Rhinolophus ferrumequinum: one gene and its partner. The protein of the gene in region 2 purifies or fractionates together with the protein of the main gene of each other region. This does not show direct contact. Links are inferred from orthologs where the notes say so. Each region holds a gene or a part of one and is shown on either strand. Other genes may lie near its edges.

Evidence for each region.
Region 1: the proteins of RPL13 (region 2) and NOM1 purify together in Homo sapiens (co-immunoprecipitation; 3 studies listed by BioGRID and IntAct, with this or other methods). This does not show direct contact. The link is inferred for Rhinolophus ferrumequinum from reciprocal best matches to the Homo sapiens genes RPL13 and NOM1.

Annotation. Positions count from the first base shown.
Region 1 is NC_046309.1:961,457-969,301, forward strand, and holds the start of NOM1 (nucleolar MIF4G domain-containing protein 1), read right to left. Parts: upstream 3,252-7,845; coding exon 2,208-3,251; intron 1,509-2,207; coding exon 1,381-1,508; intron 342-1,380; coding exon 146-341; intron 1-145. UniProt on the Homo sapiens protein: Plays a role in targeting PPP1CA to the nucleolus.
Region 2 is NC_046298.1:34,032,065-34,039,287, forward strand, and holds RPL13 (60S ribosomal protein L13), read left to right. Parts: upstream 1-4,216; 5' UTR 4,217-4,302; intron 4,303-4,488; 5' UTR 4,489-4,505; coding exon 4,506-4,609; intron 4,610-4,913; coding exon 4,914-5,055; intron 5,056-5,118; exon of another isoform or gene 5,119-5,202; intron 5,203-5,259; coding exon 5,260-5,433; intron 5,434-6,179; coding exon 6,180-6,236; intron 6,237-6,869; coding exon 6,870-7,028; 3' UTR 7,029-7,052; downstream 7,053-7,223. Other genes in the region: prostaglandin reductase 2, read right to left, coding at 1,314-2,231. UniProt on the Homo sapiens protein: Component of the ribosome, a large ribonucleoprotein complex responsible for the synthesis of proteins in the cell.

The DNA of each region.
Region 1 (7,845 bases), on a different chromosome or scaffold from region 2:
AGGGCCCAGACACAGAAGCGGAAGCTGACCCAAACCAGGGGCTCCCCGAACGTGGCCACGGATGATGGGGTACAGACCGGATCGTACCGAGCCTTCCGAGGTCTGTCACGGAGACAAGCACGTTTAGACCCCGACAGAGCCCTACCTCGATTCCCACGGTGCGGTGAAGAATGCTGACCAAGAGCATGTGCTCCATCACCAGGCGACTGGGCACGGGCGTGGCCGGGGCGCAGGCGCTCATGAGGACACCCGTCAGAGTGTCGTTCATGTCCTTCCTACTGTGCGCCATGTACAGCTCCTCCAGCTGTCCGCTTATGGAGGCCATGTTGGGCTCACTCAACCTGCAGACGATTGAAAAGACAGCCACACGACGTTTCAAAAGAGGAATGACTTTCAGGTCAACTGAAATAAGTGAAAAAGCTATCAGTACCACCAACACGTCCTATTTTGTGTACACATTGCCCTGCGAACAATTCTTATTGGCTTTGACCCAGCCCTAATGACCCAGCTTCCACCGCACACAACACACACACTTCTGGACTCTTCATGTGCGACTGTCGTCTCTCCAGCTGAAGCGCCCCACAGCGAAGGACACGCAGGACTCCCTGTAAGACCACAGACTGTGCTGACGATGCCCCCCGGGGAGCTGACCCTTGTCCCCAGGCAGAGGCCGGGAATCATACTTGCACATCAGCATGCGTTGTTGGGAAAGCCTCTAGTTTCCATTTTCCCGCTGGCAGAAAACCTGCAGTGCCTGACGCTGAGAAAAGGCTGCCCTGCTTAGGGGGAGGGGGCATCTGTGCACAAAGCGTACACACCGCGTACACACCGCGTCTGTGCCTGTGCTCACACTGTGCACCCGAATGGCCTGTTCGGTAGAATCCAGGCTGTACCACGGGAACAGTGTTTTAACTAAAAAGAAATTTTTAAAAAAGCAGTGGGAGGGCGGTTTGCGTGACCATAAGCATAGCCTGAGAGAACCGTCCTGTGCCGGGACGGTTCTGTCTTGGCTGTGGGGTGGGGACCCAGGGCCTCTGGTGTGACGCAGATGGAGAATGAGCAAAGGGGATGGCAGCCCACCGTGGGGCCCCCACTCGACCCCGCAGGGAGGAGGGTAGCCTGCTACCCCTGTTTTGGGACTTGTCAGGACATCCACGTGGGCACTGTTGCTGCTCTCAAGCTCAAGGGTTCAAAGTACCAAAGAGCAAAGGTGGACATCCTGCTTGTCCAGGTCCAGCGATGTCAAGAAGGGAACAGAAAGGCGCCAATCACAACAACAGCCCCACCCCTTCACTTCCAGCTTAATTCCTGGGATAGTTTCTGTATTTCCAGGAAACAGACGTCTTTAAGAGACGCACTATGACGACGCTGTGAGGTTACCTGTTAATTAGGCCCTGCACGTGCTTCTTCAGCCGTTCCCGCTCTTCCCTTTTCTGGGCATCCACTGTCTCCTCAGCCCGCCTTACATGGGGTGGGATGTACCTGTCACCATTTTCACAAAGACTCTGCTTGAAAAGACAAAAAATAAATTACAAAAAATGTACACTGAACAAATCTCACTTTTTCCTTCGCTATAACCACCTTTACATGTTAATTTCCCCCAAACTGGCAGAAGCTGTAACTATTGACCATGTCTGCTCTATAGATGTCACATGTTGACCGAGTGCCCAGGACAGTGCTGGGCTTACTCCACTCAGCAGTCTGCGGGAGTCCCCACCTACATTGGCGTCAATACGTGTCCCTCTGCACTTCTTCAGACCTGCTGTGCCCCTCCAGGATCTGCCGGCAGAGCCCTGTATTCCACAGGTCTGTCTGGGCTTAGTTTACCGCAGGCAAGGATGTACACAAACCCCTAAATTAAATGTACCCCTGGTTTTCGAGGGATAGTACTCTAAAAGAATTTCAAGCTTGTTCAAAAGTAACATCCAAATTTACATGATAAAATCAAAACCAACCCACTGCTCAGTGTCCCCCAGATGATCAACAGTGGGGTGGCCATTAAGTCGCTGGGACACATAGTTTTCTAGAGAAGTTTCCTCCCTTAACTCATTACGGAAACTTAGAAACATAAAAGTAGACAGAATAAGCCGATTTCCGCACTCAGCTCACACAATTACCAATACATCAACTGTGCCCCCTCTGCCCCACGCCCCGCCCCCTCCCGTTTTTCTACGGGGAATCTGAGGACCCAGGTGTTCACACCGTACCTGAGGCGCTGCGCCAACAACCTCCGAGGAATTTTTACTTCTTTCTGCATCCTCTGCAAAACGGACTCTCTTTCCCTCCCTCTTCTCCCTCGCTCTCTCCTCTGCTTCTTGGGTTTCTCGCTTTTCCTCCTGGACCTCCTCCTCCTCCTCCTCCTCTTCCTCGCTCCGCGCTCCCGCGTCTACCTGCGGCTCGTCCTTCTCTTCCCCGCCCTCCTCCTCTCCCCATCCGTCCTCGGTGTCGCTCTCCAAATCGCTTTCGGGGAGTGTCTGGGTGGCATCTTCCTCCTGCTCACTGCTGCTTTCATACAAGCCACTGCTGTCCCCTGACCCCAGGACTCCCAGAATGTAGTCGAGTCCATCGCGGGCAAAGCTAGGCGGCACGGAGCTGGCGTCGTCCTTCCTTTTGCGCTTGTTCAAGCCGAGGCACCGCTCCAGCTTCCGGATCTCTCGGTCCTCCTCCTCGTTGGCTGCCAGAAGTGCCCGTTTCCGAGCGGCGGCGGCCGCGGCTGCCGAGGGCCTGGTCCTCCCGCGCGGTCCCCTGGCCTGGGCGTGGGCCGGGGCGGCCTCGGCCCGGGGAGGTGGCAGCCCCTCGGCCTGGGCGGGTGGCAGCCGCTCGGGCGGCCGCGGGGCCCGACGTGAGGACGGCTGGACGCCCTCCTCCTGAACCCCGTCCGCCCGGGGATCGCTCGCTCCCCTGGCTCCGTCACCGCCGCCCGGGCCCGGACCCCGCGCGGAGCCCGTGGTCCTCTGCAGCCGGCGCGCCTTCCTCAGGTGTCGCTTCTCCTTCCTCAGCTCCCTGCGGCTTTTCCTCCCGCCGGGACGCAGGCGCCCCTCCGCGCGGAGTCCCTCGCGGCCACCCGGGCTCTCTCCCTCGGAGGTCGCCTGCACAAACTCCTCCACGGCCAGCTTTAGCCGCTTCAGGACCCCCGCCCCGCCGCCCCGAGGCCCGCGGGACAGCCCGCGCCCGCTTCCGCGCTTACTACGGGCCGGTCGCCGCCGGCTGCCGCCCCAGCCTGACGCTCCAACACTCGTGGACGCCGCCATCTTCCGGGACGCACCGACGCTGACTTCCGTCCGGGGCGGGACTTCCGTGCTACACGGGGCGGGGCGGAGCGGCGCCCCCTGCTGGCGGGTGGGCGGCAGCGCAGGGAACCGCACAGCAGCAAGTGCGCCTATTTGAAGTTCATGTGAGTACGCAAACACGTTCTCACTTAATAATTGAAAAAAAAAAACAAAAACCCTACAGATTATGGTAAAGAAGCCTCTTCACGCCCTGCCACAGAAGTAACCGTACTTGTCGGCAGGGCGTGAATCTTTCCTATGGGATATGTACATTTACGTGGGTGTGCACATATCCCATAGGAAAGTGTGTCATGTTGTTTCCTGCGTGTATTTTACGGGGTCTCCATGCTGAACTTACTGTTCTGGGACTTGGTTTTGCACTCAACCTCAGGCCTCAGATGTCTCTGGTGCTGCGTAATGACTCACCTTCTGTTTCCGGTTGCTGGTCTCTCCTGGGATGCTGGTCCCCTCTTTATTCCTCTGTTGATGGACTGCACCGGGATGATTAGTGTCCCCAAATTCATGTGTACCAGAAATTGTGAACGTGACCTTATTTGGGAATAGGGCCTTTGCCGATGTAATCAAGTTAAGAGAAAGCCTTCCTGGGTGGGGGCGGGCCCTAAATGCAATGACAGGCGTTCCTGGTAAGAGGGAAGTTTGGACTCTGCAGGGAGGAGGCCGCGTGAGGAGCGACACAGAGATGGAAGCAATGCTTCTACAAGTCATGGAACTCCGAGGGTTGCGGGTCGCCACCAGGAGCTAGGGAGACACCTGGACAGATTCTCTCTTGCAGCCCCAGGAGCCAATCCTGCCCGCACCTTGATTTCAAAGGCTGAGGTGAGAGCTGAATGGGCCCTTCAAGGTCCAGTGTGGAGCGCTCAGGCACCGCCCACCTGCCTAGACCACTTCTCCTAGGGCAGGGGACCAAGGGACTCCCAGCTGTCTGGGGGTGAGAAGCAGGAGGAGGGGTGCCCGGGCCAGCCCTCCCATGCCTTCCTGAGTACCTCCGCTCTGTGCCCTGGCTGGTGGGGCTGGCTGATTTCTACCCGGAGGGGCTGTGGATGAGCGTGCAGGGCTGTGGAAGGGAGAGGCAAGAGCCGGAGGAGAAAGCTCATCCTGGCCTGTGTCCACCTCCAGTGCTACAGTGCCGCTGCTCACTCAGCACCCTCGCCCCCAGGGTTGAGAACCCAGGTCCCTCCAGGGTTCTCACTGCTGTTGTCACACCCTGGAGCCCTCGCCTCTCTCTCATTCAGTAATTTCTCTGGGGGTAATTGGGGAGAGGGAGTCAGTCCCCCTTGCTACTATCCCATTTAACAGGAACCAAACAGGTAAAATTCATTTCCTCCTACAGAGTGCTTAGAAGGGTTCTGGCACATAGCAGCTGCTCAGTAAATGCCAGTACCCTCCTGATTGCCTGGCTCCCGCCAGTCCTCTGCTTGCTCACATTCTGACCCCTGGATGCTGTGTCCGCTCTGGCTTCCCCAGGGCGGGATTTTCTTGTCTCTGAAGTCACAACTTCTAAGACTTTGTGGGGGATTGATGTGGGCAAATCTTGGGGATATTTTTCGTCCTCAGATCCCAATGTGAAGGAGGCTTTTGGCAGTTATTCTGGCTGCTTCTCCCCTAGAGGAGCCCTGTACCTCCAAGCCTGCAAACTGCTACGGCCTCTTCCCCAGGATCCTCTCAAGGACCCTTCCTCAGGACCTCTCCCCAGGCCTCGCCAGGCATTGGCCAGTTGATGGAGAGGAAGTTCTGTTTCTCCAATCCTGGTGAAAGGGCTGGGCTGGGGCAATAGGAGACTACCATCTGGCAGCAAACATAAAAGAACGTTGATGACACAGGGGCTGATGAGCGTGTAGGGAATGTGCACGTCGCCGGGCCAGCGTGCAGGCGTGTGCTCTGTGTGTGTGTGTGTGTTCCTGTGTGTGCCTGTGCCTGCAAGACACGGGCTTGGAGAGGCTGGCAGGGGCCAGGAGTGACAGGGGTGGCCACTGGTGCTCCATTTTGTGTTTGTTTGGGGAGCAGTGGGAAGCCGGTGCTGTAAGGAGAGAAGCGGGTAAGAGTTGGGGGGAGTGACCTACATTGACCTGCATTTGGGAAAGATGGTCCTGCTGCTTACAGCGCTGACCCAGGCGGTCAGGAACGACGCGCAGACAGAGGCTCTTGCATCAGACACTTGTCCCCCAGCAAGGAAAAATTGTTGGTTGGGGCTTTGCCTGACAGCTCTTTAAAAATAATAGCACGAATGATCTATTAAGAGTCATATGACATACAATTTAAAGTGTGACCTTTTAACTCAGTGTCTTAGTGCGTTCAGGCTGCTATAACAATACCACAAACCATGGCTTAACCCGCAGATGTTTTCTCCTATGGTTCTGGAGGCTGGACGGCTGAGATGAAGGCACCAGATTCCCTGTCTGAAGGGGCACCTTCTGGCTGTGTCCTCACAGGGTAGAGGGAGAGGGAGGGGTCCCTTTCCCACCGTGCTTGGATCCCATCCTGAGGGCTCCACCCCCATGACCCAATCACCTCCCAAAGGCCCCACCACTTAACGCTGTCACTGTGGGGACTAGGGTTCAACATAGGAACTTGGCGGACACAGTCCGTAACCCAGGTTCACAGGCTTTTTTGTTTGTTTGTTTCAATGCATTAATTTATTGATTGATTATTTTAAAATATTGTTTTTTTCTTTAATTTTTTTTTTCTTTTTCACCCTTCTTCCGCCTCCCCCTGACTCTGGTTCAAGCATTATTTCTCAGTCTAGTTGTGTAGAACTCAGCTCCCTGGCCTATGCCCTGGAGCTGTTGTTCACAATCTTAGCTGTAGAGGGTGCAGCTCACTGGCCCATGTGGGAATTGATCCCGCGACCTCGGCGCACCCTACTCCAACCACCTGAGCCACTGGGCCGTCCCTATTTTTTTCTGATACAAAAATAATTTGCTCACCATAAAAATGGAAATATTATAGTTATCTGTGTGTAATGTAGAAAGGGGAAGTCCTCCATAAGCTCTTCCTTCCACAAATTTATCAGATTTATCATGCAGATATTAACCTGCGTTACTGTGATTTTGTTACCAAAATAGGCTACACTGTTTGCAGTTTCCATCTTGCTCTGGGTGGTACAGCTTAGGTCTTGTTCCCCGTCAGTGATCTGGGTCCTGGCAGCAGCGCCACTGGATGCCTGTTAGCAAGTGGCGTCTCAGGCCCTCCCCAGACCCACTGAGTCAGGATTGGAACCTGCAGATCACTGACTCTGGACCCCTCACTCTTCTCAATGGCTTTATGAGCATAATTTACATAACCAATCTGCTAATGGAGAATATTTGTTTCCTTTTTAAAACGTACAATTTTTGCACTACTAAAATGCTATAGCAGATATTCCTCTGTGTGTGTGTGTGTGTGTGGGTGTGTTTGCAGGATTGTGCAAGTGTTTCACAAGAATATCATTCTAGAAGTTGCTTAGGGAAAGTGTGTAAGTATTTTGTTTTCATTAACACATAATGCCGCGTTTCCAGCCTTAAAAGCTGTGCCAGCTCGTGCTCACATTCCGTGTTAGGCTTGTGCCCCATACCCTCTGCTTCACTGACCCATCTCGGGTTTTCATTTTTGCCCATCTGCTGGGTGAAAGGTCAGCACAAAGATGCTGCGAGGTCACCCAAAGCCTCTTCTTCAGTTTCCTTCACCAGCCAGCCGCCATCGGTCAGACCTGGGTGCTGCCTGGTCTCTTTCTTTGCGTCCTGTGGCCACAGTCCCAGTGCAGCCCAGCCAGGCCCTCCCTTTGTCCTCTGCAGTTTCCTGGCTGCCAGAGTTGGCTCTAAGCCTAAACCTCTCGTGCATTGTCCTGCTTCAGATCCTCCCGTGGCTCCTTGTGGCCTGCATACCGGCAGGGAAGCCTTGCCTGGGACACAAGACCTGCTCACACTCACCTCAGCCCAGCTGGAGCCGCCCCACCCCCAACGGATCCTGGGTTTTTCAGGACACGTGGGTCTCATACTCCTTGACTCCTCATGTGCCCTCTGACTGGAACACTCTCCTGCTTCCTGCCTGACCAACCCATCCTTGGCTCAGAGACAGTTTCCCTGTGTCCCGAGGTGGTCAGCTACTCCTACCCTAACCCTCACCTACGGGGGTTCCGTGGTCACCTCTGACCCCCACGCTGGACTTTGTGTGCCGAGGGAAGAGCTCAGACTCTGTCTTCTTCAGCTGCTTGCTCATTGCTCCCCTCCCACCCCCAGGGTCCATACCTGGCACACAGTAGGCACTCAAGTTTGTGTTGGGCAAATGAACAAATCAGTGAACAAATGACTCAGCGAAAGCCTTAGATTGAGTTGGGGCAGAAATGAACTTTCAGAGTCACCACGTCCACTCTGCTCCTTTTGGTATGTGAGCTGTCTATGGAGCAGTGGGGCCAAGAGCTGCAAGGCCCAGGTGGGGCTCACAGGGCCCAGGTGGGGCTGCAGGGCCCAGGTGGGGCTCACAGGGCCCAGGTGGGGCTCACAGGGCCCAGGTGCGGCTGCAAGGCCCAGGTGGGGCTCACAGGGCCCAGGTGGGGCTCACAGGGCCCAGGTGGGGCTGC
Region 2 (7,223 bases):
TAATTGACATACATTATATTAGTTTCAGGTGTACAATGTAATGATTCTATATTTGTATACACTGCAAAAGGATTAGGACAGTAAGTGTAGTTAACATCATCACCAGAGTTACAAAGTGTTTTTTGTTGTGATGGGAACTTTTAAGATCTACTCTCTTAGGAACTTTAAAATATTTATGATTATGATAATGTACTTCCAATTGTCTTTCACTGATGTATTTCTCATACTACAGGAACCTTTGAGTTAGCCTATATCTGATTTATGTGTAGGCCATGATTTTGGAAAGTTGAGAGGCTGGATGGTTATCAGTTTTGTGATGAAACAGTGTAACATTATCCATTCTTTTTTTTTTCCCCCAGAAAAATATCCTCAATTTTAATGTTTAAATGATTTACATTTAATAAAACACTCTTATTTAGAGTTACATTAGTAGGTCTTGCACATTCATGTTTTTACAACCATTTGTTAATTTTCCCAGTCAGTCCTGGCATTTTCTGAAGCTCTCTTTGCTGTCTAAATCTTTTTGATTACCTAAAACTCCAAGTGATATTTATATTTATTTGCCCTTGAAATCTTTACAACCATTTGACAGTATGTGCCTGCTAACCTAAAATAAACATGTGCTTTTATCACTAAGTATTTGAGATTTTAGGCTCTACAGGAAACTGGCAGAACACAAACAGATCATCTTCTGTAGTAAATCTAGTCTCTCCATCCACCTAACCAACCTGTTACTTTCCTTCTCATACCACTCCTCACACAAAGCCTCTACTCTCCTATCCCAAAAAATGTGCCAGACACTGAATTCCCCCAAACCTCTACACAGACGCCCTGCCATTAAGTCCCTTTTCCATCTACAATATGGAAAGGCTATCCCAATTCTATTCTTACTCCAACTTTCAATTCAAGAATTATGTAAAACAAATATTTACTAAGTGCCTTCTCAAGCATTCCATTTTAAATAAAAGTTATTGATTTAAAAAAATTTGTTTTGTGTGATCCATTAACAGCTGTATCAAATCTCCAGTGGTTTCGGAATATCTGATAAGAATATCACATGTAATACTAGTTTTAGTAAAAGAAAGAAAAATAGATCATGTTGACTTCACTCTATCATTGTAAACAGTCATGTTGGATGTAGAGTACGTATATGATATTGAAGGTATAAGAAAGAATTATGCAACTAAGAAAATATCACCTATGATCATACTATGATCAAAAGCTATACTGTAAGGTTTTTTTAATGTATCTTCAAAATCTTTGTGCAAAATGGAAAGAAAACTGTATTTCCTTGATGAAGACATTTATAGAGATTACAAAGAGGTTTCTTCTGAAATGCAAACTGTCTGCTTTCCAATGTTACCTCCTGTCATCATGGACTGGAATACAGCTCCCATGTTTTCCAATCCGTTTATCATAGTTTCTTTGATCTTTAGCTTTCCTTCTTTAAACCACTGACTCAGCTGTAGAATACCAGACTCAAATTTGTCCTTATACAACACCAGAAATCTTTCTCTTGTGATGTTCCTTTCTTTCCGGATTGCTTCTATAGCAGGGGTTAATGGAAGAGGATAAGGCACATCTTTGTTGTACTGAGAAATTTGACCACACAGGACAATGTGGCTGATCTGATTCATCTGCCCAGCTAAAGATCCACAAGCACCAGCAGCCCCACTAGCAACCATTGTCTGATTAGATCCAGCAGTTACATGATCTTTTCCCTGTATCCCAATCAAGGAAGTCAAACCAGGCATACCTACGGCCCCAAGAAAGTATGAAAGGTGTCCATCCACAAGTTGTGGGTCTACCTTTTGAAGGTTATTTCCATCTAGGATAACCTTGGTTTGCCTGGGCCAATAAAAAGAAGTCACAAAATCACCTTTAGTAAAATTTGTGTGTTTGCTTTCTTCTATAATCCCAACACCTCCACCAACAACCACTTGATACAGTTGCCAACGTGTTATATAATCAGATCCAGTGTCTTCATTCATTCTACAATGCATGTAAGGATCCACAGAAAGATAAAGAGTTCTGACTTGTAATTGTCCTTCATTGATATTATCTGGTAAATTTACTTCTTCTACTCGGAAATTTTCTGCCACTGGATTACCATTTTTCCCAACTCGGGAATTCAGTATCACTCTTCGTACAATCATCGCCTTGTTTGCATAGGGATCGCACAAGATTTCTGTATAAAATAATTCCGCCACCGACCTCAGAAGAATATCCATTATCCATTCTTATTATTAGGCCACTGCTTTTCCTAATTTAACCATCGGCCTATATTTATATGACAAAGATTAACGTGCTAATTTTTTGCAAAGTGCTATAGGGACGTGACTTTTGCCCCCGCAAAAAAAAAATCACTCAAAAATCACTTCACTATAATTTAAACAATCAAGACTGTGTCTGAAAGGGATTGAGAAGCTATAGTTGACTGTCTTAGGCCGGATTTCTTTGAGGCTGACCCTCAAAGCACTAGATGGAGGAAGCCGGTGAGGTGCAGAGGCAGAATGAGCGAGCAGGCAGTAATTGGGGTTCAGTCTTGCAAGGAAATGCTGGGGGGTGTGCAGAGCACACTGCCACACCCCCAAGGACACTTAGCCAGGAATCCCTGGTCCCCTTAATTGAGTGCTACTTCCAGGGGCATTAGCTAGCCCTTTCAGGCCTAAGTCCAGGACAAAAGCCCTTAAGCAGAGTTGTGGCTGTGGAGTTTCTGTGCCAAGGGACAGAACTATCCCTATAGCTAAAGATTTTTAAAACCCTTGAGCCACCCAAGCCTTTGTATCAGGACCTCTGCATGACAGTTCATAACAGTTCACTTCTTTAAGCTTTCCCACTAATCTTTCCCAACAGGAAATCTGAACGTTTTCAACAGAATTTTCGTATCAGAATTTTTTGTCTCGCTGTTCTGCATAATTTTTGATTGAAGTAAGGTATGAAGTATTGAAGCATGAAAAATTGGGTTCTATGTCTGGTTTGGTTGTGTGCAGCAGAGCAGGTCCTCAAATTACAACTTTCCCTCCTTACCGCTAACTGGATTCTGAGCAGACCTAACCCCCCACCCAGCGTCCCAGGACAGCGTCTTGACCACAAGCAGCTGGAGCTCAGGTGGAGGTGAGGGTTAGGATTGATGGAGATACGTTGAGTCTGTGGGTCCATCCAGAAAGGGAAGTTGGGGATGGGGACAGGAATGTTTGAGATTACAAAGAGCAAAGTATCTTGGCCATGGTGGGATCACTGCAAGGTGCCTGAGAACGTGTGGGAAAAGCAGGGCTGCTATTGCCCTCAGTTTCCTAATTGAGCACGTATCTATTAAATGGCAGGGTGAGGGTTTGAACTTCCCATGTAGGCTCAGTGCATTCATCTGAAAAGACTGTGCCTCCTGTTCCCCAGGTCAAAACTTTGTTAATTCCTCAGTGATTTTTCCAACACCCAAGGGTATCTCACTAGAGCAGAAAACTTTATCAGCAACTTATTTTCCCAGTGCGGAGCACAGAGCTTCAAATTTCTCATTTTGTGTCATGAAATTCTTAAACTGTTGATTAAGTTTTGCTAGGAGGAAGCTCGATGATTGGTGTAAAGCTGAGAAAGAAAGTGGGTTAGCAGGAAGTAAAGGCTTAAGAGGTAGGAGGAGTACGGTGTTGGCGAGTTCCCAGACTTGGAGAATAGGAGACGCGCGAGGCACAAATTATGGATGTGTGCCTGACTAGTTAGTGTTTTTATGATGCTCGCCTCTGTGGAGGCCGTATGCACAGCGGGAAGTGGGACATCTGCAGTCCGCCACGTGAATTCTTAGTGCCACCCCTTACTCCCGACCTCAGAGAAGTTACCTGATCCTTCCGCCGAGCAGAGGCGGTTGTGCGATTCCATGTGAAAAATACATGTGAAGTACAGGATGCCCCGCTTACAGCAACCCCTAAGTGTGGCCTAAAGAAGCACAAATGTTCCAAACGGGAAGGAACAAAGACTGGGGCACAGAGGACGACGCTTTAGGTTTTGGGAAAACGTACCGAGTCCCAGGGCGTGCGGAAGCTGAAAAAGGCCGGCATTGCCGAAACCATCCGCCACCGCTCTCCTACAGCCTGAAGCATCCCTCGTTGACTTTGTTGGGAGCTGCAGGCTACGCAATCTCTATCCAGGGGCCGCGAGGTCGGCTGGGAACGCGAATACGTCACTTCCGTGATTCCAGGCTCTGATTGGTCAGAACGTCCCGGCACTTCTGATTGGCCAGGCTCACTGCCATCCCGGGGTGCTTTGCGGCGCCATTTCTTTTCCGGTGGCTGTTCTCCCTGGGAGAAGGTGGGTACGCTCTAGTCCGGCGCCGGCGGAGGCCTTCGAATGCCATCGGGCTCCATCCGCCTCCATCGGCGTCGGATCCATGGCGCAGACAGCACTGGCCTATGGCCGAGCTCTGTGGCCGCGCCCAAGGCGGGCTGCACGCGGCATCCGCCCGGAACCCGAGCCCTGACTTGCTTTCCTCTGCAGGCCGGTAGGCAGCAGCCATGGCGCCCAGCCGAAATGGCATGATCCTGAAGCCCCATTTCCACAAAGACTGGCAGCGGCGTGTGGCCACGTGGTTTAACCAGCCAGCGCGGAAGATCCGCAGGTGAGCGGGGCTCCTGGAGTACACGGCCAGGTAGTGACAGTGTTCGGAATCGGTGTTCCCTGTGTTGCAAGTGCGCATGGACCCTTTGCCATGTCATAACTGCAGCACTTTCAGCTCCACTGGAGAGCCGACGTGACCTTATGATTGGGGGCAAGTGGGTGGGGACGCTGGGCTTGGGGTCGCTGGCGGGCGGGGCCGTCTGCGCTCTCTGTCCCTGCTTTGGCATTAGGCCGTAGACGTCACACCCGAGGGGGGAGACAAGCTTTGGGGTACGGTAACTGCTGCCTGGTTTCTGTCTGCTCAGACGCAAGGCCCGGCAAGCCAAAGCGCGCCGTATCGCTCCGCGCCCTGCGTCGGGACCCATCCGGCCCATCGTGAGATGCCCTACTGTGAGGTACCACACCAAAGTGCGAGCCGGCAGGGGCTTCAGCTTGGAGGAGTTACGGGTGAGTACTCGCAAAACCTCGTTATCAGAAGCATACGTTTTGTCTCTTGGGCTCACAGTCAAATGATGACATTCTCCGGAATCGCTGTACTGCCTTGATGAAAGTACGTTTGAACCCTTTTCCATCTGACGACTGAGCGATTTTATTAAGGTATGGAAATTAGAGGCTTCTTGGGGCTTCATTTGTGTCTGTCTCTGGGGGCAGGTGGCTGGCATCCATAAGAAGGTGGCCCGGACCATTGGGATCTCAGTGGATCCTAGACGGCGAAACAAGTCTACTGAGTCCCTGCAGGCCAACGTGCAGCGCCTGAAGGAGTACCGATCCAAGCTCATCCTCTTCCCCAGGAAGCCATCAGCCCCCAAGAAGGGAGACAGCTCTGTGAGTACAGTGCTCCCAGCTCCTGGTGGGGCAGAGGGGTGGTCAGGGGCGTGGGGGTCTCTGAGAGGCTGCCCAACCCCAGCATGTGGCTTTCCTTGGTTCAGGGGTAGTTTCTGTAGCTGGGTCCAGCTGGGGTGAGAAGGAAAGCATTTGCCTGTAACCTTTTTATCCCCCAAAACTTGGCCTTCATATGGGCAGTAGAGAATTGATAATGAGCGGAAAGCTCCTAAAAATTTATAAATGAATCAGAACCGCCAATATTCACTCACGTGCTCCTCAAATGTGATGTTTCTGTTTTGTAGGAATGGTAAAAGTTGTTTGACTTGGACCTAGTTTTTTTACATTGAAAGTGATTTGCTCTCTAAAACGCTTTACGTATGACACAGATATTTCTAGAAGAACTTTTGGAACAAAGTTGATAGTGTCCATCCATCCATACAGGCTTCTCTGGAGTTGGGTGGGGAGTGGGTTTACACTTCAGTTGACGTTTTGCTTTATCTGCATCTGTTCAGGTATACGTGCACTTTTGCAGCTGCCTGTGACTGTCAGCTAGATAGAATAGGAATCTGGTGCCATGCCATTACTTGGCACATAGACCCACATAATGTGTGCTTGCAGTTGCAGACACCTAGCCCTTCCAAGCACACGGTCACCCAATGTGAGGTGGGGCTGCCTTAGAGGGTTATAAGCTTGGGGCCCTTACGTAAATGAGCTGCACCCATTTGACTCGCCCTTCTCGTGAACAGGCTGAAGAACTCAAATTGGCCACCCAGCTGTCAGGCCCGGTGATGCCCATACGGAACGTAAGTGGAGGTGTTGGGAGGATGTACAAGGGAACGTGTGTTGAGGTGGAGATTGACTTGGAGGGAGTAAAGGGTGGCAAGAGCACCCTGTCTTCTAAACAAATGGACTCCTCAAGGGAAGGCCGTATGCTCTTTTTTGGGGAACCCCACTTGTCACTCCTCTCTTTGTTGGGTCCTTTTTTCCTTCTTGCTAGTTGGAAATCCCAGGCCACAGGTAATCTCAGGGCATGTTTGATGATTCTGTAACCTGCCCATCAAGTGATTGGGCCCTTGAGGTTCCTCTGGGAAAGGGGATCTATTCCTCGGTGGCCTTTGTGTAGCCTTTCAGCATTACTCTTTTTCCCCCTCTTCTTCCACTTCCCCCCTTCCCCTCCGGTTCAAGCCGTTGTTTCTCAGTCTAGTGTAGGATGCAGCTCCCTGGCCCATGCTGGTATTATGAGCCTTGCGCTCCCCCCGGCTGAGGCAGTCGTCGGTCGGCAGCTCATGGCAGCTCTCGCCGGCTGCTGGCCACTCACTTCCTCAGCACTACTTGATCTCTTTCCAGTACCTCTCTGGGTTTGCTGATGTTTGGGTCCTGGGCCTCGTTACAGGCCTCACTGCAGGCCAGGGTTTGACTCCTTGTACTCTTTCTAGGTCTACAAGAAGGAGAAAGCCAGGGTCATCACAGAAGAGGAGAAGAACTTCAAGGCATTTGCCAGCCTTCGCATGGCCCGTGCCAATGCCCGGCTCTTTGGCATCCGGGCAAAAAGGGCCAAGGAAGCTGCAGAACAGGATGTTGAAAAGAAGAAATAAAGTTCTGTTGACAATTTGTGATAAGTCTGTAGTCTCCATTTGATACCTGTCTGTAAGAACAGGGTAGGGGGCCTCAGCTGGGGTGAGGGTGTTTTTACAAGGCAGGCCAGAGACAGGATTGCATCCCCCTTTCTATATTTTAGGACTATTGTTTGTCCATAATAGCATTCTGTGGATAGTTTACAAATCCCATTT